3 linked regions of the Pelodiscus sinensis genome follow. The protein of the gene in region 3 purifies or fractionates together with the protein of the main gene of each other region. This does not show direct contact. Links are inferred from orthologs where the notes say so. Each region holds a gene or a part of one and is shown on either strand. Other genes may lie near its edges.

Region 1 (7,463 bases), on a different chromosome or scaffold from region 3:
GCAACATTCTACAGAAACTACAGAACACAAGTCACCAAAATAGAAAATCAACCTCCTGCATCTAAATGAGATGATGAAAATGAAGATGCATCACTTTGCACTTCTTGGAAAGTTATCAAACAGAATCATCAGCATGCATGCATGTCTTCTGGAATGATAGTCGAAGCATAAAGAGACATGAATCTCTAGCGTATCTGGCACATTAGTATCTAACAATGCCAGCTACAACAATGCCACGTTACAGTTTATTCTTACATTTAGGTGAAATTGTAAATAAGCAGGCAGCAAACTCTCATATAAATGTAAACAAACTTGTTTCTCTTAGCAAGTGGCTGGAAAAGAATTGGGATTGAGCAGACTTTATTGTTTTATTTTTGAATGCAGGGGTTTTTGCATGTAATTCTATACTTGTAAGTTCAACTTTCATGATAAAGAGAATGTACTGCAGTAGTCGTATTAGGTGAATTGAAAATATTTTTAATCAAAAATATAAAATGAGCACTATACACGTTGTATTCTGTGTTATTACAGAAATAAATATATTTAAAAATGTAAAAAAATCCAAACTATTTAAATGATATTCTATTATTAACATCATGATTGATCATGATTAATTTTTTAATCACTTGACAACCTAAATCTTAGAGTCCAACAGATATTCTGTGTAGCATAATGGAATAATGTCAATAACAGACAGTAGTTTACTAAAACACTCTAGCCAAAAACAGTGACAGAGTTAGATAAAAGCAGTACCTATCGACCCTACCTGCTTTAGAGTGGGGCATCAATGTTCTCAAGTCTTGCATTAGATGTCTTGTTCTGAAATTTATTCCTCTAGAAGAGAAAATAAGCACCCGCTCTTTGTTTTTCCATTTACCCTAAAAGAAACACAAAGGTGAAAAAAAATTTTAATCTTCAACTTTTTAAAATCAAAGTTAATATTTAATCAAGATATTTGTGATTTTTTTAAAACTGTATTTGTGCAAAAGTTTTCAATTAAAATAAAGTGCTGTCTTTCCAACAGGCTGCATATATAAATGTTAACGTGATCAATTTTGATCTTCCACACTTAACTACTTAATTCCTACACAAAAAAATCCTAATCAATTCAACGTTTTCAGTGTCAATATTTGAGGATGGTCACATAAAATTTCCCCTCTTAGGGTGTGATTAACTTCATGTAACAGGATGTACCTGCTTGCAGACAGAAAGGGTAAATACCATGAAATCTGTGTTTTCTCATTTAAACAATAACAATGAGGGTTAGGGATGGGACAGGAATCTAGACTGATAGAAAACATATCTAAATATAGCAAAATGACATTAAGTACATGAAAGTTAAACTGCATACAGTGGTAGTACAGAAGTGTTTATGTTATCTAATTTTAAGGTGAAGAATGAGTGAAGAATTAAGGTCAAGTCTATAGTACAGAAAGTTGGTTTAAGGTACGCAATCCCAGCTACATAAACAACATAGCTGGAGTTGACGTACATTAAGCTGAACTTTGGTGCCATTCCCACAGCAGGAAGTCCATGGGTGAAACACACTTATTGACTTTCCATACTCCTTGTGAAAGTGAGGAGTAACAGCACTGATGGGGAGAAGGGTGCCCTCAGAGCTTATTGGAGAGTGGGGTTGGGGCGCTCTTGACAAGAAACTTGGCTGGGGTACAGGTGCTTGTCCCACTCCCTGTAAGGAGCACCTGACAGGGCAGAACAGGATAAGCACTCTTGCCCCAGCCACACTCCTCAGCAGGAGCATTCCAACGCCGCTCCAAATATTTGTTCTAATGACGACGGTTATAAAATTCAGATTGATGTTTACAATAATATGGTTGGTGTGCCCATTTTATTAAGCCATAGGCCACACATACACCCAGATGCGCCTCTTCAGAGCAAGCGCTGAGAGATGGTTTGCTGCTGTTGACCGATGCAGATCAGATACACATTGTTTCTAGTCAATGTTGGTCAGATGTGGATCCACATGTTTATATCCACACAGGGCTGTACTCATATGAAGAGTATGGGTGACTACACAGATCAAGACAACACCTATCTCTGTGGAGATCAGTGCTCTGCTCTAGGGATGTTAAGGACTAGTCAACTAGTTAAATGCTTATCAGATAGTCAACAGGATAGCTGACTAGTCGTTTCCCTCCCTTGCTGCCTCTATCAGAGAGGCAGCAAGGTGTGTGTGTGGGGGGGGGGGGGGGGGAGAAGATGGGGTAATTCAAATCAGCAATGCCGTACGGAGCACTGCCCCTTTGAAATGCCTTGTGCAGCCTTTCAAAGGGGAAGTGCAGCACAAAGACCAGGATCAGCTGGGGATTCCCCAGATAACCCCGGGCTCCATGAAGTGCAGCCCCTTTGAAAGGCTTCATGCAGTACTAATCGAATAGTGCAAAAGCGCATCCAAAGTGCATCAACTATTTGATTAGTCAATTACATGCTACTTAACATCCTTACTCTGCTCCCTTCCACGCTAAGCAGGGGGCGGCCCTCTGAGACTATGGATGACTTACAGGGAAGACAAGTGTTTTTTTAAATAAGGCAATATCGCTAAAAAAAGGACTGAGGCAGATGCTTCCCTTAAGCGGCCTCCTCCGCCCCGCTACATCCCAACAGGCCAGACAAAGCCAGACCAGACCCTTCCCGCAGCGGGACCGGCGAGCTAAGGTGACCTTGTTCCCACCCCCAAGAACGAGAACACAAGCGATGGCTCCCCAGCCTCTCAGCCCAGGCGCCGCATGGAGACAGGCCGGACTGTGCCAATACTCTCGGGGAAAGGGGTGCACAGGCCTCGGGCAGAAGCGGGACCAGCCGCTCTCTCTACCTTGCAGACAGGAGCCGGGATGCTGTGCTCCTCCCTCTCCGCTCCCTGCGGGCCCCGCTTGGCCCACGGCCCGCTGCCATCGGGAGCCCCCCTGGCTCGCTTCTTGGGCCGCGCCGCAGCCCCTCCACGCTTCCTCTTGGCCGCCGCCATCTTCATTACACGTGACGCGTCCGTCACCCGGAAGCTGCTCTGCTCTTCCGCCCCTCGCTCTATGGTCAGCGCCGCCGCGCTGCCCGGCTCTGGGCGGCCTTCGTGTTACGACAGCCGTAAGGCACGGCGGCGAGCGCCGCCTCGTAGGGAATAGGTAGGATCCGGGTGCGGCTTCTCCCCATCCCCGCTCGGCCCGGGGCCGCCGGCTCCCCAGCGCGGGCCCGTTGGCCTGCGAGCGCCTCGTGCAACGGGACCGTCCGTGTCGCCCAAGCTGGGGCGCCGCCGGCTGGGAGCCGCGTGGGGCGCTCTGCCCTGCAGCGCCCGGGACACGGGCCTTGGCTCGGCGGGCTGCAGCGCCAGTGGACGGGGCGCGTGGTAGCCAGCGACCGGCGCGGCCTGGGGCCGCTGTTCCTCCGCCGCTTTCATTGCACTGAACTCCAGCCCCTCTCGCGGGCAGCAGCAATAGCGACACGTTTACACTTGTACCGTCTGGTCACTTTCACCACCGCATTGCTGCCGGGGCGTCATCGCAGCTGCCAGCCGGGCAGCCGTTCCCGCCTGTCCTTGACCACCAGCGGGTTAGAGTAACAGAAGTATGTGACCTCTGTTTTAGGTTCTCTTTGACACTGCCCCTGCAGGCCTCACATATACGGTCACAGGGAAGATTGGAGTGGTGAATGCAAACGAATAATGCCCCTCTCTACTCAGCTGGAAACTGCCGATGATCAGTATGTTTTAGTCGCCAGTCTTGACAATGTCAGAAACCTCTCGAATATCCTAAAAGCGATTCATTTTAAAGACTATGCAACGTGTTTTGCAACTAGAAATGGAATCAAGGTAACAGTGGAAAATGCAAAATGTGTGCAGGCAAATGCCTTTATTCAGGTAAGGAGCCCAGCACATCATCAGACCATTAATATATCTGTCATCAGTCTTTCACGTGTTTAAAATTACAGTTTTTTTCCCTTTTTCTTGCACTTGGTAGTGGCTTTCCCAATGGACATAATCCAGTCAAACAAAAAACAAAAAGATGAGACCAGTGGATGCAAGGCATTAGATATCTCAGTTCTAGACTTGCAATAGTGTAGATGTTGATAGTATTCAGAAATGCTGGAGTTAAATTCTTAATGTATCAGAGATGGAAATGTTTTGCTATTTTATTATTGTTACTAGCAGACTTACTCAGCATTGATTGCCTACATCTGATGTGGGTGGGGGTGTGGTGGGGAATGATGACCCTGTGTGGGCTGGAGTTGGAGGGGAGGGGCAGCTCAGTGCTTGCCAGGGGGCCTGGGCCAGGGACATGGGAAGGCCCAGACCAGGGTTTGGGAAGTGGGGGCAGGGTGATGGGTGCATGAAGGTCTCTCCCAGGCTGCTGGGGGTCCTATGGGGCAGCTGGGGTTGGGTTGGCCAGCCCCGATGGTACGGCAGGTGGAGGGGTTTTAGACAGGGAGGCCACTTACAATTGGCAGCTAAGGTGGTAGAGTCCCATCCTCAGCTGGTCACTCTTGCTAGTGTGGCTGCCCTCATTGATCACTCTGCAGGATAGCTCTCCTGTGGGCTCACTACCCCCCAGTAGTGAGTGTGAGGATCTCTCCTCTCTGCTCCCCTCCCTTTCCATGTAATGGAAAACTATCAAATTCTAGGCACATCTCATTTTCTTGGCACAACCAAACCCTGAATTTGCCCAGGTTTATCCGTTAATTCTAGCCCATGGAGCTGTTTGCCCACCATGAAAGGCAGCAGCAGGAGGAGGGGGTAGGCGGGAGCTGATGCTTGCAGACAGCCGGCTCCCCGTGAGCACCAGCTCCCTCCTGCCTACCCACCCTCCATGTGTTAACATATAACCACTAAAAATTTCAGCAGTCACATGCTTACACAAATACACAGTTTTTAACATCCTTACTACACACCAAATTTGGTGGCCCTAGCTCTTACCATTTAGGAGGAGTTTGTGAACAAATGGACTGACACGCACATGCACTTTAAAAAATATAGATAGATAGCATGTGAGAGGATCACCATTATTTTTGCATTGAGTCTTGTATTAGCACATAGTATGAAGCCACTGTGAGATGAGAGAGCATTAAATAAGCCAGGGAAAGTATGAGAGAGACTAGAATTATCTAGAACAAAAAACAGGACTATGTAGCACTTTAAAGACTAACAAGATGGTTTATTAGGTGGGCCAGACCCACTTCCTTAGATCAAATACTGTAGTGGAAGAATATTGTCACAACCATCTATACCAAAGCATACAATTAAAAAAATGAACACATCTGAAATTTGATTTGTCCTTTTCACATGTGTGCATTTTTTAAAATTGTATCCTTTGGTATATATGGTTGTGACAATTTTCTTCCACTATTTGATCTGAGGAAGTGGCTCTGGCCCACGAAAGCTCATCACCTAATAAACCATCTTGTTAGTCTTTAAAATGCTACATAGTCCTGTTTTTTGTCCCAGCTACACCAGACTAACACGGCTACATTTCTGTCTCTACAATTATCTAGGAATGGAAACAAAGTATTTGACAGAAGGACTGTTGGAGAGAATAAGGAATGGCATGCAGTTTATTTTAGGTGCTGGAGAGGAAGTATCAAAATGGTAGGAATAAGGTGGAGAATCTGACCCAGCGAGTGCCATGCAATACTGCTGGATGTTAGTTAGAGGTGGAAAAAGACCTTGTAGGTCAGGGAAGAGCAAAATAAGGCCTGCAGGCTGGATGCAGCTTAACAAACCACTGGATGCAGCCCATGGACACAGCAAAGAGCCTCACACAGGCTCCCTGCCTGCCCCTCTTCCGTACGTTGCTCAGAAAAGTGACTTGTCGGGCCATTTGTCTGGGGAGGGGAAGAGGTTCCATGTGCTGCCCCTGCCCCTACCACAATTCCAATGGTCGGTTTCTGGCCAATGGGACCTGCCTGTTTGAAGCACAGCAGCATGCAAAGTACCTCTCCTCTCCAGCTCTTAGCTGTACACACATACAAATGACCCTGCACCCATATGCTACTTAACACAAACCCTCTGCCCTCCCTCCTGTACCACTCTAGGTCACAACCCAAACTCCTGTACCCCAGTCCCCTGCCCCATGTCGCAACCCCCTCCTGCCATGGGTCACAATCCAAACCCTTGCACCCCCTCTTGTACCTCAGGTCACAACTGCCACCTTCACATAAACTCCCTCCCAAAGCTCGCAACCCCTCATGCACCCCAATCACTTCAAGCTCTCTTCTGCATCCAGCCTCATAAGAATGGCCATACTGGTTCAGACCAAAGGTCCATCTAGCCCAGTATCCTGTCTTCCGACAATGGCCAGTACCAGGTACCCCAGAAGGGGTGGACCGAAGACAATGATCAAGCAGTTAGTCTCCTGTCATCCTTCTCCAGCCTTTGACAAACAGAGGCCAGGGTCACCATTCCTTACCCCCTAGCTAGTATCCTTTTATGGACCTAACCTCCATGAATTTAGCTAGCTCTTTTTTAAAACTCTGTTATAGTCCTAACCTTCCCAGCCTCCTCTGGCAAGGAGTTCCACAGGTTGACTGTGCACTGTGTGAAGAACAACCTCCATCCCAGATCCCACACCTCCTCCATTAATATAATGGAAAAGTCCTACCCTTGACCATTTTCTATATTCTTGGAGTGGACCCCATCAAAAATTATTGCCCACCCCTGTGTAGGTCATTATGTGCAGCCTCAAAGGCCAGTGCTGGATTGCTCATTATGGATATATTCTTCACATCAGACAAAGCTATGAATATAGATGGATCATATTAATGATCCAATCACTTCCCTAATGGAAGACAGTTCTACAGTTGACTAAATATCACTTTTTGAAAACTTTTTACTAATATTCAGCCTTATTTCCCTTTCCCTAATACCATCCCATTATTTGCATTTATGCATCATCTTCCATTTCAGGATCTCAAAATTTTCTGCATTCAGATATCATCCATCTTTTAAGGAGTTCACTGTTGTCTTAAGTTATCAAGCAATTACTGTAGTGAGCCCTACTGTACTGAGTTCACTCCTCTTGACATACATCTCGTTGCATCTCTCCTGACCCCTAAACAATACTTTAAATTATTTTTTCTCAACATGTGTTTAATATGATTACTATTGACACTTACCCTTTTCAGATATCTCTAATAACGTTTCGTGTAATTAAATCTATCCCTCCAAATAAGGTGTAGGGATAATTAAAAAAAGAACCACAAAGGGAATTGAAGGGAGCAAAAAGAAAATTAGCTCTTTCTGTAGTCTTAAATTTTTACCTACTTGCTTGGTTTTATTTTTTTGATTTTTAAGAAGTCATATTTTGTTTAATGAGTTCACTTATTTCTGCTGCTGCTTGTTTACTTGACTGTTAGATTAAGAGCTCCTCAAGGCAAAAATTGTGCTGTCTTCTGTTTTTGGAAGCACTTATCATCCAAGGCATACTGGAAATGACAAGTTGTGTTTTTTAAGTTGTATAGTA
Region 2 (7,215 bases), on a different chromosome or scaffold from region 3:
TCGATGACGGGGATGATGTTGGTGCGTTTCTTCGCCACATTGATGAGGTCACGGCCGGAGCGATGGGAGAACTCCACAGCATAGACCAGGCCTTCCTGGGTGGGGTAAAAAACCATGGTCAGCCATCTCCCCCAAGGGCAGAGCAGCTTTTCTTCCCATTCTCCCCTCCCCCCACAATGCAATCAGGCACTGCCTTCTCTCAGCACAGCTGAGTCATACTCACTAGACACTTCGTCCCTGCCCCCACCCCCATCCTCTTCAGACCCAGGCCCAACAGCAGCTCCTTACCGGCCCCACGATGTCGGAGACATGTGAGACTGTGGTTCCAGAAGCAGCTCCCAGGTACAGGACCTTGGCTCCCGGCTTGATGTGGATTTGATCAATGCCACCTAGGATGGCTGCTGCCAGCTTGGAGCGGAAAGGGTTCCAGGCACGGTACTCTATCTTCAGCTCACCGTCCTGCAGAGAGAGCAGCAGGGTCAAAGCTCAGCTCAGCTCCCCCGGGGCTGTTAACTGGCTGCGAGCATGCTCCACTGTGGCAGTCGCCCCAACCCTAATACCCTTCCTGCTGGGGTAGTGTCCCTCTAGAAACATGGGAGCTGCCTTAACAGGCTGGCACCATCCCACCCCTGAGTCCTGGGGCAGCCAGTGCTGCCCAGAATTTCCCCCATTACCACAAGGCCGCCTACCTCCACAGAGATCCTCTTCTCTCCATACACAGACTCGCCGGGCACCAGATTCTTCGTCACCAGCGCATCCTCCTTCCCCCTGCAGATGAAGACGCCTGGGTGGAAGGAGGAAACGGATGGGAAGCTGTCAGAACAGGGACAACCCTCTTCCCAAGTCTAAGGAGAGCAGGGGGAACATTCCCTGCTATGGGAAGGAGTCAATTGCCCTTGCAAATCATAAAGGGATCACAGCAGGGCTGCCAAGCCATGGATCAGCCATGTAACCTCCCATACACAGTGCCTCCAACACTGGATAGCAATCCACCCCAGCTGTGCCCTGATCAATCCAACATCTAGCAGTGAATCCCAGCGCTGTCCAGTCCAGGCAGACCACCTTGGCCACAACACCTCACTGCTCCCAGGAGACAGCACTATTTTGTCCCATGCTGGTTACCTTCATGCCTGTGGGGCTCCACCGTCACCTTCTTGCCTCCTTTAAACCCTCCTCGGCCGCCCCGGCCTCCTCCACCGCGGCCTCCTCGGCCTGGCCCGCCTCGTCCACGGAAACCACCGCCACCTCCTCTTCCTCGGAAGCCTCCATCACTCCCACCCGGAGATTTAAACCCACCACCTACAAGGGAGAGAAGAGATGGAGTAGAAGCACATTGGCCCTGTGCCATTGTCCCCGCCCTGCATGGAAAGCAGAGGGGCAGAGCAGCTGTTCACTTTGGGACAAGATATGAAGGCGGGGATCCAGTGTCCCTGAGATCACGAGGGGAAATAACCCAGGCAGGGGTTGGACCATGGCACACTGATGGAGCTGGGACAGGATGTGCTGTCCACACAGCAACACAGCCCAAAGTCAATGGCCACTGAACTGAGGTGCGGTGGGAGCAAAATTCTCCCAGTATTCACTGGACAGGAAGGTCTCCAACAGTGGGTGTTGCCTGGGACCGAGGGGAGAGGGGGAGGTGCAGCACACAGGTGCTCAGTCGTAACCACAAAGCCCTCCCCTCCCCAACACAGCGATGCCACTGGGGCACAGAGAGCACTTACCTCGGCCTCCTCGGAAGCCCCCTCGGCCTCTTCCACGGTCCCCAAACCCACCGCGCCCTCCACGGGGACTGAAACCTGCAACCAGGAGAGAGTTAGAGACCACACCCCACCATGACCCTCCACCCACACCATAGAGAGAGAGAGCGGCCTGAACCCGAACACCACTCCCCACCATTGCTCTCCCACCATGGATACAGCCCCACCCCATATCCTTCCTGGTCACCCCATCCCCTTGAATTGATTAACTGGTTAAACATAGGTAAACCAATTAAACGGGGGCAGTGGGAGGGCCTGCCACAGGGCTGGACCTAGAGAAGTAAGGGATCAGTCTATTAGTCAACCAGGGAGTTAACTATTCACATTCCGCTGGCTTAAAAGCCGATTCTCCCCAGCACGGTCTCCGCGGAGGTAGGGGCAGGGGCTTCTGCCGGCTGGGCAGGCAGCCCAGCTCAGCCCCAGTTCACCTCACTGTGTCTTTGCAATTGAAAATGCAGTAGGAATTAGGCAACCTGCCCCCAAGCTCCTACCGCCTTTAAACTGCAGAGACACAGCGGGATTTGGTCCCAACCCTGTACAAACCGGGACTGAGCCAGCTGCCTATTGACTAATCGAGTAGTCGATAGAATTTTTATCGACTACTCAACTGGTTAAATACCCGCTTCTTAACATCCCGAGCTAGAGCAGCCCCCACCATCCCCTGCCCGGGAGGCAGGGACTGCTCCAGCCTGGCCTGCGCAGCCCCCCCTGGTTAACCTTAACTGGTTAAACCTTCACCTCCCTTGTCCCCACCCCAGCACGCTGCTAGCCCGCCTCCCACCTGCCTTTCCACGTCCCTCTATCCCCACTGTCTGCACCTTCTCGGGTGCGCCCCAAAACCTCCACCCACCAGCCCCCATCTAACAGTAAAACCCAAACACGCGCCCCCATCCCACTACCCCCCCAGGCTCCTGTGCAGACACGAGCCCCCCGCAGGGGCACAGAGACCCCCCCCCCTTCCCGCACCTGGACACCCCCCTGGGCCACGCGACCCCCCGCAGCCCGGGCCACGTGACTGCTCCCCACTAAGCACCCCCAGCCCCGGACCCCCCCCCGGGGTCACGGCCCCGCACTGACCTTGTCCCCCCCCCCCGGGGTCATGCCCCCCCAACTGACCCGTCCCCCGGGACACGGCCCCCACTGACTGCCCCTCCCCGCACACGTGGGCCAGCCGCGCTCACCCGGCCTCATGCTACTCGCCCAACGCCGCGAGCCGCCTCACTGCGCAGACACCAGCACCCTGGCCACTGCGCACGCGCAACTCTGCTCCGCCAAGAGCCGCCGCTGCGCATGCCCACAATAACCCCGCTTTCCCCATCTCCGCCAGAAGGAGGCACCACGGGAAATGTAGTCTCCGCTGCCAGCACATGCGCACAACAACGGAGCCGCTGCAAAAAGAGAGCGCTGCGCATGCGTGTAGTACTCCCCCGGCCCATCCCTGGCCCCGGTGTTAGGTCCCCTCCCGCACCAGGACTGTTGAGGCCAAGTGAGTCCACATCAACACATGGCTGATGAGGGCTGGGTGCAGCTGCTGGGATGGGGGAGCCCTGCAGCATACTAGCCTGTTAACCTGTGGAACTCCTTGCCACTGTGACCCAAAAAAGGCATGGATGACTTCTTTGGCTATTAGCCAAGAGAGCCAGGGATGTGACGCCCATGCTTTGGGCTTCCCTAAACCTCTGCCTGCCAGAAATAGAGAGGCAGGGGGGCGGGACTGGCAGAAAGTAAAATTTTGTGAAATAACCATTCTGAAATTTTGCATAAAAATAAAATTATTTCCTATAAAACAAAAATGTTGAAATTTTGTGCTGGAAATAATTCCCTTACTCTCAAAAAAATTAAATATTTTCCATGAAAAAATTCTGACATGTCCTGTTGATTTATTTTCTGCAAAACACAGGTTTCAAATATTTGATTGCAAAACATTTTAAAAAGTAAACAAAAATTTATCCTAAAACCAGGGCTACTCAATTTAGGAAGCCCCAGGGTCCACAATGATACTCACAGCACATGCCAAGGGCCGTGACTTAAGTGTGGTTGCATATACATGCACATTTATATGCAAATATATGCAAATAGCTTCTTTCACACTGACCTGCATGAATACAAAGATAAAACCTCAAGCCACCATGGGCCAGTGTGAGCCAGTCAGCACCTGTCAGGCTCTGTCCACAAGGCTAAGCAGCCAGCACTTCCCACAATGCCCCAGCACTCCTGGCACCTCTTCCCTGGGGGCTAGAAATGCCGACACCCTGTACCGGTCTGTTCCAGCCAGCCCGTCTGCCTGCGTCTTTCAATGCTCACCCCGTCTGAGAAATGCTCACCGCTGTGAAGCATAAGTGGTGAGGAGTCCTGTGGCACCTTATAGACTAACCGAAGTGTTGGAGCATAAGCTTTCGTGGGCAAAGACCCACTTCATCAGATGCATGTAGTGGAAATTTCCAGAGGCAGGTATAAATATGCAGGCCAGAATCAGACTAGAGATGACGAGGTGGATTCAATCAGGGAGGATGAGGCCCACTTTCAGTAGCTGATTTGGAGGTGTAAATAGCAAGAGAGGAGAAGCTGCTTTTGTAGTTAGCAAGCCATTCACAGTCTTTGTTTAATTCAGAGTTGATTGTGTCAAACTTGAAGATGAACTGTAGCTCAGCAGTTTCTCTTTGAAGTCTGGTCTTGAAGTTTTTTTGCTGCAGGATGGCTACCTTTAGTTCTGCAATTGTGTGTTCAGGGAGATTGAAGTGTTCCCCTACAGGTTTTTGTATGTTGCCATTCCTAATATCTGATTTTTGTCCATTTATTCTTTTACGTAGGGATTGTCCAGTTTGGCTGATATATATAGCAGAGGGGCATTGTTGGCACATGATGGCATATATTATGTTAGTAGATGAGTAGGAGAATGAACCAGTGACAGTATGGCTGATCTGGTTAGGTCCTGTGATGGTGTTGCTGGTATATATATGTGGGCAGAGTTGGCACCGAGGTTTGTTTTATGGATTGGTTCCTGAGTTAGAGTTATTATGGTGCGGTGTATAGTTGCTGGTGAGAATATGCTTCAGGTTGGCGGGTTGTCTGTGGGCAAGGACTGGCCTGCCTCCCATGGCCTGTGAAAGTGAGGGATCATTGTCCAGGATGGGTTGTAGGTCACTAATGATGGGGTCCAGATGATGAAGATGTCATTGATGTAGCGTAGGTAGAGAAGGGGCGTAAGTGGATGAGAGCTGAGGAAGCGTTGTTCCAGGTCAGCCATAAAAATGTTGGCATATTGTGGGGCCATGCGGGTGCCCATAGCAGTGCCACTGGTCTGGAGGTATATATTGTCACCAAATCTGAAATAGTTCTGTGTGAGGATAAAGTCGCAGAGCTCAGCCACCAGTTGTGCTGTGGCATCATCAGGGATACTGTTCCTGACAGCTTGTATTCCATCTATATGTGAGATGTTTGTATAGAGAGCCTCTACATCCATGGTGGCTAGGATGGTGTTTTCTGGAAGATCACCAATGCATTGTAGATTTCTCAGGAAATCAGTGGTGTTACAGAGATAGCTGGGAGTGCTGGTGGCATAGGATCTGAGTAGATAGTCCACATATCCAGACAGTCCTTCAGTGAGAGTGCCAATGCCCGAGATGAGGGGGGTCCAGGATTTCCAGGTTTGTGGATCTTGGGTAATAGATAGAACAACCCTGGTCGGGGCTCTAAGGGTGTGTCGATTTGTTCCTGTGTTTGTTTAGGGAGTGTCCTGAGCAGATGGTGCAGTTTCTTAGTGTATTCCTTAGTGGGATCTGAGGAAAGTGGTCTGTAGAATTTGGTATTGGAGAGTTGTCTGGCAGCCTCCTTTTGTAAGTCAGGCCTGTTCATGATGACAACAGCACCTCCTTTATCAGCCTCTTTGATTATAATGTCAGAGTTGTTCTGGGGGCTGTTGATGGCATTGCGTTCTGCACGACTGAGGTTACGGGGCAAGCGATGCTGGTTTTCCACAATTTCTGCCTGTGCACGTTGGCAGAAGCATTCTATGTGTAAGTGGGGGAATGGTCCCGCTATTGTGGGGAACTTTCCTGGCTTCTATACACCCCGGTGAAATGGACCAGCGAAAGGATCTGAGTCCCCACTCCCACTTCCTTTACCCCACGGCTTCCCTGATCCTGAGGGCTCCCCCTCCACTCTCCTGAGTAGCAGAGCCCTCGAAACCCCAACAAGGCTGGGCCCAGGTTTCCTGGGGCTTAATCCCCGACCTTGTAGTCACTAGGGGCAGGAGTTAGGGTGTCCCCACTCCGAGGTGCTCTCTTTACACTGCAGGCCTTCTTGGCCCAGCGATCACTTCATAAGGTTCAAAGCAAATACAATTTATTAAACATCAACTGATTAAAGAGAAAATAATAAGAAAAAATGAGAATGGTTAAATGAGAACACACAGCCCTGCTCTGTAGCACAGGGACATCAAAACAGCAGCCTGCAGAGTGTAAGGTCAGTCCACAGTCTCTTCCTTAGAGGCCCCTTAGAGGCCTTGGATGTGCTGCAGGGGGCTGCAGGCTGGACACGCTTGCTCTGGCAGTGACCACACAGCCTCAAGCTCTAAGTGGCCAGACCCCTCTCCCAGTCCAGAGCCTCTCCCCATACTTTGCAGTTCCCAGCTGCTCACCACATCCAGCTGCAGGCTGTGCTGCGTGGCCAGTCTCTAGCTTCTTGCGTTGCTTCTCTGTTCCTTTTGGCTCTCTGAGCACTGCCAGTCTGCTGCTCAACACAGGGTCTGCGCTCCTTGAGCTGTGTGTGTCTGGCTCAGCTGCTGCAAAAACTGCCCCTCAGCACACAGCTTGCTTTGCTTGGGCTGTCTCTCAGCTCCCTGTTTTTGCAGGACTTCTTCTGCACACAGCTTGCCCCCCTTGGGCAGTCTCTCAGCTCTCTGTTTGCTCAGAGAGAGCCAGAACAATCCCAGCTCACAGGGAGGACGGGGCCTGGCCTCTTGCTTTTCTCACTGGCCTGTCCAACTTGTCAATCAGGCTAAGCTGGAGTGTTGGCTGCTTTCCATTGTCTCTGGGGTCTGTCAGTCTCATGGACCCTTCCCCTGTTGACACTGGGAGCTGGCAAACTAAAAAACTCCCACAGAGTATAAGGGGCTAACAGTCCCCTTACATATGTAGTGGTCCAGACTGTCATTTCGACCCACAGGAGGTGTCCATATGGAGTTCTTCTTCTTGTGCTGTTGGTGGGAAGGTATCTGTGTGTCAGTGCACTGTTCAGTGTTGTGTTGGAAGTATTCCTTGAGATGGAGACAGCGAAAGTAGGCTTCCAGATCACCACAGAACTGTATCATGTTGTGAAGCGTGTTCCCAGTGGAGGCCATGTTCCAAGGATCCCACCCACAGGCCGGATGTTGAGCCCCATGTAAACCCAAACTGCACCAGGGGCCACAAATAAACAGGTCACAGGCCACATGTTGAGTAGCCCTGCTAAAAAA
Region 3 (7,743 bases):
CCAGAGGGGAGCAGTCAAGGAGGGAAGCATGGACCCGCCAGCTCCTCCCGCCCCACGGCCGTGTCTCCCTGCTAACAAGACAGCCCAGGTCACAGGCTCCCTGGCTGGGGTGTACGCAGGGCAGATGCTCTTCCTCCCCTTTCTGTGCAGTCAGCGCTGGAAGTCGCGCTGCCTGCGGTAAGCATGGGGAGGGACAGTGCACGTTCCAGCTAAGCCCCGGGCAAGCACCCCTGCAGCAGCCCTCACCTGACGCGCATGGAGAAGGTGTTGATGTCCTTGTCCAGCTGGTCCAGCAGGCTGATGGACTGGATGATCATGTTGTCCACCCGGTTGACGTTGAATTTCACTTTGGCTCGTGAGTAGCTGTGCCCCAGGCCCAGCTGTGCCTTGGAGGCCGACTGGGCAGTGAGGCCCTTCACCAGAGTGTGAAAGTGCAGGCGGATCCCTGCACAGAGTGTCTGGTGAGTACGGAACCCCTCGCAGCCACACCGCCCACCCTGTGACAAGCCAAGGAGGGCAGCCCCGAGTGAGCACCTGAGCTCCCACACAGGCAGGGCACCAGGGGACTGGACCAGACATGATCCCTAGGGGGCCTGCTAGGATCCCCATGCCAGAACATAGCCGTCTGGGCCTCGTTCGCGCACGCCCTCACCTCGTGTGATCTCTGCTACGACCCCGCCAGCCTGGCACTGGTAACCCAGCTCCTCTTGGATGGCAGCCCCGATTTTGGCATCGCTGACTCCCAGCAACACTTTCTTCTTCTTGGCCGGCAGGTTGGTCTCCAGGAGCAGCTTGAGGTCCTCATGGAGGATCCCTGCCCCAGGGAGAAGGAGTTATTGGATGGCGAGCCACAGGGCATGGATGGGAGCAAGAGGGCAGCAAGCTCCGCTCCTGGCCCAGCCACCCGTCGCAGGCTGACGGGGAGCAAGCCACCAGCTCAGCCTCACCTTCTGAGACCGCGTTGATGTTCTCCAAGGCACTCTGGGCGGATCGGAACGGGGAGAAGGCCACCAGTCTGACAATGCTGTGGAACTTGCCAATGTTCAGGATGCTCTCCTCCACCTGGGGCGGGCACAGGGCAGCGGGTGAGTAACACAGGGCAGGCTGGGGTACCACACCCGCAGGGGCCCAGGCGCGCACAGGTTCTGATGGAGCACAATGCAGCTAAAGCCCCGGCTGCACGGCCGCAGCCCCCAACACGCATGGCAGGGATGCCGTCTCCACCGGCGGGAACACGGACAGCAGCGCCCCCTTCAGCGCAGCTGCAAGTGCCCCCCACTTGCGCACCTGTGCTCAGACACAGCGCAGCATCACCGCTTTCAGTGGATTGACAGATTTGGGCTGTTCATCACTGCACAAGGTGGGAGCCAAGAGCACGACCCGCCTGCCTGGCCACAGAGAGCCAGGCCTGCTGGCTGGGTTCACACTAGGGCCGTTAAGATGTGGGGTTCTGAAGAAACCCGGAAACACGGCTACACGTTTACACACCAGGGGGAGGGGCTCAGCGCCTGCAGGGAGCCGACTTAATCCAGCTGCACACAAGCAGGGGCTCCAGCGGAGCCATCTTCACTGCCCAAGGAAGCAGGGGCGGGGCAGGCAGCTTCCTAGCGTGTGCCCCTCTGTGCTGCTGCCTCTGTAGCAGAAGTGGCCATGTGGGGGAAGGGGGGTGCCCTTAAGGCGTGAAGATTAACTGATCAGCCCAGGCTCGCTGGTTAGGGTATGCTCTCACATCCCCCGGCCGCACTGGGGATGTAAAATCCCCCTTAATCAGTTAATCCCGTAAGCACTATGTTTAACCAATCAAGCACAAGATCCCAGGAGACCGCTCCAGCTTGGTCCCCTGGCCACACAGGGGCTGCTGCTGCTCCCTACTCCCACAACGCTGGGGCTGTTGCTGCCTGCTCACACCCCTTTGGGTACCAGTGAACCGGTTAACTAGTCACATCCCTCGTACACATGTAGCCCAGTCAGGGGCCTACCGCCAAGCAGCAGTCCCATGCCTAGCAAGCCCCACGCTATACACAGCTGGTCCTGGGTACTGGCGGGTACAACTGGACAGGTAGGGCTGCGCTGGTGCAAGGATCCATCTAGGCAGGAACCCCCAACCCTGCAGGGTCAGATCAGGGAGCCTCCTGCGGAGCCACCCCAGCACGTGGGCAGCCACCGCCCGATTGGGAGTAAGGGAGGGAGGCAGCCGCTCCGGGCCCAAGGTCAGCGCGGTGGGGAACAGCCCTCGGGGGCGAGAATAAACCAGGACCCCCCCCCCCCCCCCGGCAGGGCGCACCTGGGGCAGCAGCAGGCTGATCTCCTCCACCTCCCGCACGACGAACAGCGCGTAGCCGGCCGCGTGCTCGAACAGCACGTGCAGCAGCACCTGCAAGCGGGGCCGTGAGCGCGCGTAGGACACCCCCCCACCGCCCCCGGCCCCCCCCCGCTCCCCTCCCTGCTCCCGCCCCCCCCCCTGCTCCCGCCCCCCCCGGTCCCCTCCCTGCTCCCGCACCGCCCCCGGCCCCCCCCTGCTCCCGCCCCCCCCCGGTCCCCTCCCTGCTCCCGCACCGCCCCCGGCCCCCCCGCCCCCCCCTGCTCCCGCCCCCCCCGGTCCCCTCCCCCCCCACCGCCCCCGGCCCAACCGGCCCCCCCCCGTCCCCTCCCTGCTCCCGCCCCCCCAACCGCTCCCCCCGGTCCCCTCCCCGCTCCCGCCCCCCCCCCCCCGAACCTGCCCCCCGCCCATCTTCCCCGCCGCCCCCCAATCCCGCACGCTCCCCGGGCCTCCCCCCATCGGCCCGGCTCCCCGCCTCCCCGGGTCCCGCAGGCCCCCCAGCACGCAGCCCCGCCACGCTCGGGCTCGAACCGGCTGCCGCGGGGGGGATGGGCCCGGATGGGCCCCGCAGGCCGCTCACCATCGTGCCGCCACCCCACGCAACGGGGCCGCTAGAGGCCTGCAGGAACCGGAAACCGGCCGTTCCACCAATCAGTGACCGCCCCTTTCCCTCACTCGCCAATGGGGCAGCGGGAGCGTCCTTAGGCCCGCCTCTTCCCCACACCAGCCAATGGGACAGCGGGAGCGTCCTTAGGCCCGCCTCTTCCCCACACCAGCCAATGGGAAAGCGGGAGCGTCCTTAGGCCCGCCTCTTCCCCACACCAGCCAATGGGGCAGCGGGAGCGTCCTTAGGCCCGCCTCTTCCCCACACCAGCCAATGGGATGGCGAGAGCGGTGGATTCCGCCAGTCTCCGCGGCGCAGTGGGCGGCTTCCGCTGCTCTGTACGCATGCGCGGGGGGGCGTTCTCCTGCTGCGCCGCAGCGCACTAGGAGGTGACGGGGGGCGGGGCTTGCTCGGCCATTGGCCAGGAGCGTGGGGGGGGGGGGGCCCTGGTCCGGCCTGGCCTCGGCTGAAGAGCAGACCCCCCCTCCCCCCCCGGGTACCCCCTCTTCCCTCGCCCCACTTGCTCGCTTGGTCGGGCTGCGGCGGTTCTGTCCTGTGCCTCCCTGTGGGCCTCAGTTTCCCTGCACACTGCAGTGCTCCGAGGGGGGGGGTGCGTGCCTCAGTTTCCCTGCACACTGCAGCGCTTTGGGGTGGGGGTGCGTGCCTCAGTTTCCCTGCACACTGCAGTGCTCCGAGGGGGGGGTGCGTGCCTCAGTTTCCCTGCGCATTGCAGTGCTCCGAGGGGGGGTGCGTGCCTCAGTTTCCCTGTGCACTGCAGTGCTCCGAGGGGGGGGTGTGCCTCAGTTTCCCTGCACACTGCAGCGCTTTGGGGTTGGGGTGCGTGCGTCAGGCAGGAGTCCAGGTTTGCGTAGGTCTCTCCAGGGTGCTTCTGCACCCCTTGGAACTTCTTCCTGTACGTCTCGGGAGTCAGCCCGAACCTGTGCAGCAGGGCCTGTTTGACCCGTTCGTAGTCCCCGGGCTGCAGCCCTTCCACCCCTGCGGCCTTCTGATCCAGCAAAGGGGTGAGCTGCTGGAGCCAGTTGGCTAGGGGGCCCTGGTGCAGCTCGCAGACTCGCTCAAAAGAGTCAAGAAACCCGTTCAAGTCCCATACATCCTTACACTGGGACAGCACGAACCTCTCAAAGGGACCTGCAGCCCTGGGCCCCTCTGCTTCTCTGCTCTGCCATGGCCAGCTCCTGCTGCCGTTGTTCCATACAACCCTCCAATTCCTTGAGCTGCAGCTTGGTCTCCAGCCGTGCAGCTCCGCGGAGGGAGAGCCCAGCTGGGACGAACCGCTGGTGGCAGTGTGGCCTGAAGGGCACCGTGTCCGTCAGCCAGACTCCAGCCCCCTGTAGCACTCCCGGGGGTGTCTGGCTGCTCCCAGCTGGGGCAGGATCCAGGCCCCCAGACAGTTCATTCTCTTCCAGCTGGGCACTTAGTTGGGCCTTCCCCTTGGTCAGTTTCCCCAAGGGCAGGCCCCTCCCCTTGCACAGCCAGGTGTAGGCCATCTCCCCGCCGTTCCCCGGGGCAGACACTGGCCAAGGTGGCAGTACCCCATGCCTCCCAGGAAGAACCCCGCAGTGCACCCGGCTCCTTGAGGGCCACTCCCTGTCCTGAGGAACGCTCCTTCTCTGCAGTCACGCTCGGGTTAAGCTGCCTGCCCCTTGGCTTTCTGGAATCGCTTCTCTCTGCCTCCCGCACGCCTGGCTCTTGCAAGCCCCCTTCCTTCTCCTGCGCCCCAGTCACTTAACCGCCGGATGCTCCATCCACGGGGTGCAGTCCATCCCACCCGACACCACTGTGATGACGCGTCGGGGGTCCCCGCCCCTGCATCCCCATCTGCAGCCAGATGTGACCCGCAGGCGGCAGGTAGAACTGAAGGTTAATCGGTTCCCAGGGACAGTGTAGCACAGAATCGATGGTAACCCAGGAGCCAGGGCAGGCAGCCTTATTCCTCTCATGGTGAGGAGGGCTCCCGGGGTCCCTCACCCCCTTTTCTGCTCTCCGCCTCCTCTTTCATCCTAGCCCAGTGGAGACTGACCCTTCCCACAGGCCCTACCCCCCAGTCTGGTGCAGCCCCGCCTGTCCTGTCTCCCTTCCAGGCCAAGGGCTATGATCTCCTGTGTCTGGCCCCAGCACACATCTCGGTGAGTCATCGGGAATTACAGCGAACACAGCACAGCAGAGCCAACACGGGATTATAAAAGTTGCACCCCCACTACCTGTCAGAGGTTATAACCCATCCCCCCATCTCCCCTCAGACACCCCAGCGCTCCCTGTGCCCCCCAGCCCCCCTCACACAGGGGAGAGGTTATAACCCATCCCCCATCTCCTCTCAGACACCCCAGTGCTCCCTGTGCCCCCCAGCCCCCCTCACACAGGGGAGAAGTTATAACCCATCCCCCCATCTCCCCTCAGACACCCCAGCGCTCCCTGTGCCCCCCCAGCCCCCCTTTCACAGGGGAGAGGTTATAACCCATCCACCACCTCCCCTCAGATACCCCAGTGTTCCCTGTGCCCCCCCAGCCCCCCTTTCACAGGGGAGAGGTTATAACCCATCCCCCACCTCCCCTCAGACACCCCAGTGTTCCCTGTGCCCCCCCAGCCCCCCTTTCACAGGGGAGAGGTTATAACCCATCCCCCACCTCCCCTCAGACACCCCAGTGCTCCCTGTGCCCCCCAGCCCCCCTCACACAGGGGAGAGGTTCTAACCCATCCCCCACCTCCCCTCACACACCCCAGTGCTCCCTGTGCCCCCCCAGCCCCCCTCACACAGGGGAGAGGTTCTAACCCATCCCCCACCTCCCCTCAGACACCCCAGTGCTCCCTGTGCCCCCCAGCCCCCCTTACACAGGGGAGAGGTTCTAACCCATCCCCCACTTCCAAACAGCTTCTCCCCGTCCCAAAGGACCAAAATGGAGCTGATGACGCGAACAAGCGACCTGTCCATGGCTGTAGGCAAAGGGTCCTGGCGGAGCTGCTGGCCTGCAGGTGCATTGCTGCTGGGAGCGACAGTCACTCCTGTGAAGTGCTGGGCCCCAGGGGCAGGGTGGCATCCACGCCAGACGGCCCATCCTGCCATTGGCTCTTCTGCCCTCCCTCCATGAGCACAAGTTCTGCAGGCGGCTTCCCCGATGGTTGTTCACAGCTCAGCGCACGTGGGGGGAAGGGAATACAAACTGGGAACGGGATGTCAGTGGTACTTGGACGTGGGGGAGGGCGAGGTTTCGAGGCGTCAGCAGGAGCCCCCTATGCATAGCCTCAGTAAGGCCTAAAGGACGCACCGAGCTTGCTGCCTTCCCCACTCTGGCATGATCAATGCAGAAGTGGGGGCCCGCAGGTGTACCCCAAAGCCTTATCTACCAGGCTTTGGCATAAAACTTCCCCCAAAATCTTAAAAACCTAGATTTTGGGAATAAAACTTCCGCTGCCACCATCCAAATATTAATAAGATTAGGGGAAAGATTATTTGGGAAATCTCACCCCTATTATAAAAATCAGGACACACCAGTAACCACTGCCAGGTTAATTAAAAGAAAAGAGAAAACTTTTATTATTATAACAATATTCCTGTTGCGAGCATAAGGATCAGCTGGAAAGGTCACAAAATATACTCCTGGGCTGTGTCTAGACTGGCAAGTTTTTCCGCAAAATTGGATGATTTTGTGGAAAAACTTGCCAGCTGTCTACACAGGCCGCTTGAATTTCCGCAAGAACACAGACGATCTCATGTAAGAAATCAGTGCTTCTTGCGGAAATCCTACGCTGCTCCCGTTCGGGCAAAAGCCCTCTTGCGAAATCATTTGTGCAAGAGGGCCAGTGTAGACAGCACAGGACTGTTTTCCGCAAAAAAGCCCCAACCGCGAAAATGGCGACCGGGGCTCTCTTGCACAAAACCACGTCTAGATTGGCATGGACGCTTTTCCGCAAAAAGTGCTTTTGCGGAAAAGCATCCTGCCACTCGAGACGCGCTTTTCCGAAAATGCTTTTAATAGAAAACTTTTCCGTTAAAAGCATTTTCGGAAAATCCTGCCAGTGTAGACGCAGCCATGGAGGAATTACACCGTGGGCTAGAACTTAGTTACAAAGAAAAGCCAAACATCTCTTAAGCAGGGCCAGATCTCAGATCCCAGACCCAACCCTTAAAACAATAAAGCCTAATGAAACTACCTAACCCTCACCCTGATTACAGAAAGTGAAGAATTGTTTCTTGGAGAGCGAGAGACATGTAGCTGCAGAGGACTGGCCCAGAGAGACAAAGGAGGAAAAAACCCAAATTCCTTTGTCCCAGTTTGAAAGTCCTACGTACATTCCTATCGGCCACTCCACCGGGCTAGGTGTAGTTAACCCCTTAATCCCCAGGCTGCTGGCTGACCCGCATAATCATGACACTTGCCTCCTGGAGAACCGTGTTAGCTTTGTACAGAGCGGGTTGACCTGACTAGTGCCGATAACGCCCCTTTCCCTTCAAACAGGCCTGTGTGCGCTGTGGGGGGCTGGCTTCGCGCTCCCTCTCTGGGCTGAGAGCGAGGTGCAAGAGACCTGGGCCAGGTGCGTGGAGCCCCCAGACGTCGCTGAGAGGGCCCCTGGGTCACAGGCATCGCTGGAGCGGGGCCTGGCCATGCCGCGAGTGTCCGTGACGCCGCGCGGGGCGGAAGATGCCGGAGGATTCAGACGGGTCAGCCTAAGCCCTGCGCTCCCCCCGGGCAGCCCGCCCGCACCTCAGACAGGGCCTGCCCTCACCTCGCCTGCAGGGCGGACTCAGCCCTTGCCTCACTCCTGGGCCGTCTGCCCCGCTCCCAGCCCTTCCTGCAACCCT

The links.
Region 1: the proteins of NOP56 (region 3) and BRIX1 purify together in Homo sapiens (affinity purification with mass spectrometry; 3 studies listed by BioGRID and IntAct, with this or other methods). This does not show direct contact. The link is inferred for Pelodiscus sinensis from reciprocal best matches to the Homo sapiens genes NOP56 and BRIX1.
Region 2: the proteins of NOP56 (region 3) and FBL purify together in Homo sapiens (affinity purification with mass spectrometry; 6 studies listed by BioGRID and IntAct, counting the BioPlex papers as one, with this or other methods). This does not show direct contact. The link is inferred for Pelodiscus sinensis from reciprocal best matches to the Homo sapiens genes NOP56 and FBL.

What each region holds. Positions count from the first base shown.
Region 1 is NC_134716.1:107,060,432-107,067,894, forward strand, and holds the start of BRIX1 (ribosome biogenesis protein BRX1 homolog), read right to left. Parts: upstream 3,018-7,463; 5' UTR 2,990-3,017; coding exon 2,834-2,989; intron 879-2,833; coding exon 767-878; intron 1-766. Other genes in the region: cell cycle checkpoint protein RAD1, read left to right, coding at 3,674-3,868. UniProt on the Homo sapiens protein: Required for biogenesis of the 60S ribosomal subunit.
Region 2 is NC_134734.1:4,829,712-4,836,926, forward strand, and holds the start of FBL (rRNA 2'-O-methyltransferase fibrillarin), read right to left. Parts: upstream 3,018-7,215; 5' UTR 2,952-3,017; coding exon 2,942-2,951; intron 1,800-2,941; coding exon 1,725-1,799; intron 1,300-1,724; coding exon 1,123-1,299; intron 785-1,122; coding exon 690-784; intron 460-689; coding exon 289-459; intron 96-288; coding exon 1-95.
Region 3 is NW_027465891.1:299,460-307,202, forward strand, and holds the start of NOP56 (nucleolar protein 56), read right to left. Parts: upstream 3,004-7,743; 5' UTR 2,904-3,003; coding exon 2,901-2,903; intron 2,375-2,900; coding exon 2,285-2,374; intron 1,063-2,284; coding exon 948-1,062; intron 815-947; coding exon 653-814; intron 446-652; coding exon 247-445; intron 195-246; exon of another isoform or gene 59-194; intron 1-58. UniProt on the Homo sapiens protein: Involved in the early to middle stages of 60S ribosomal subunit biogenesis. Required for the biogenesis of box C/D snoRNAs such U3, U8 and U14 snoRNAs. Part of the small subunit (SSU) processome, first precursor of the small eukaryotic ribosomal subunit.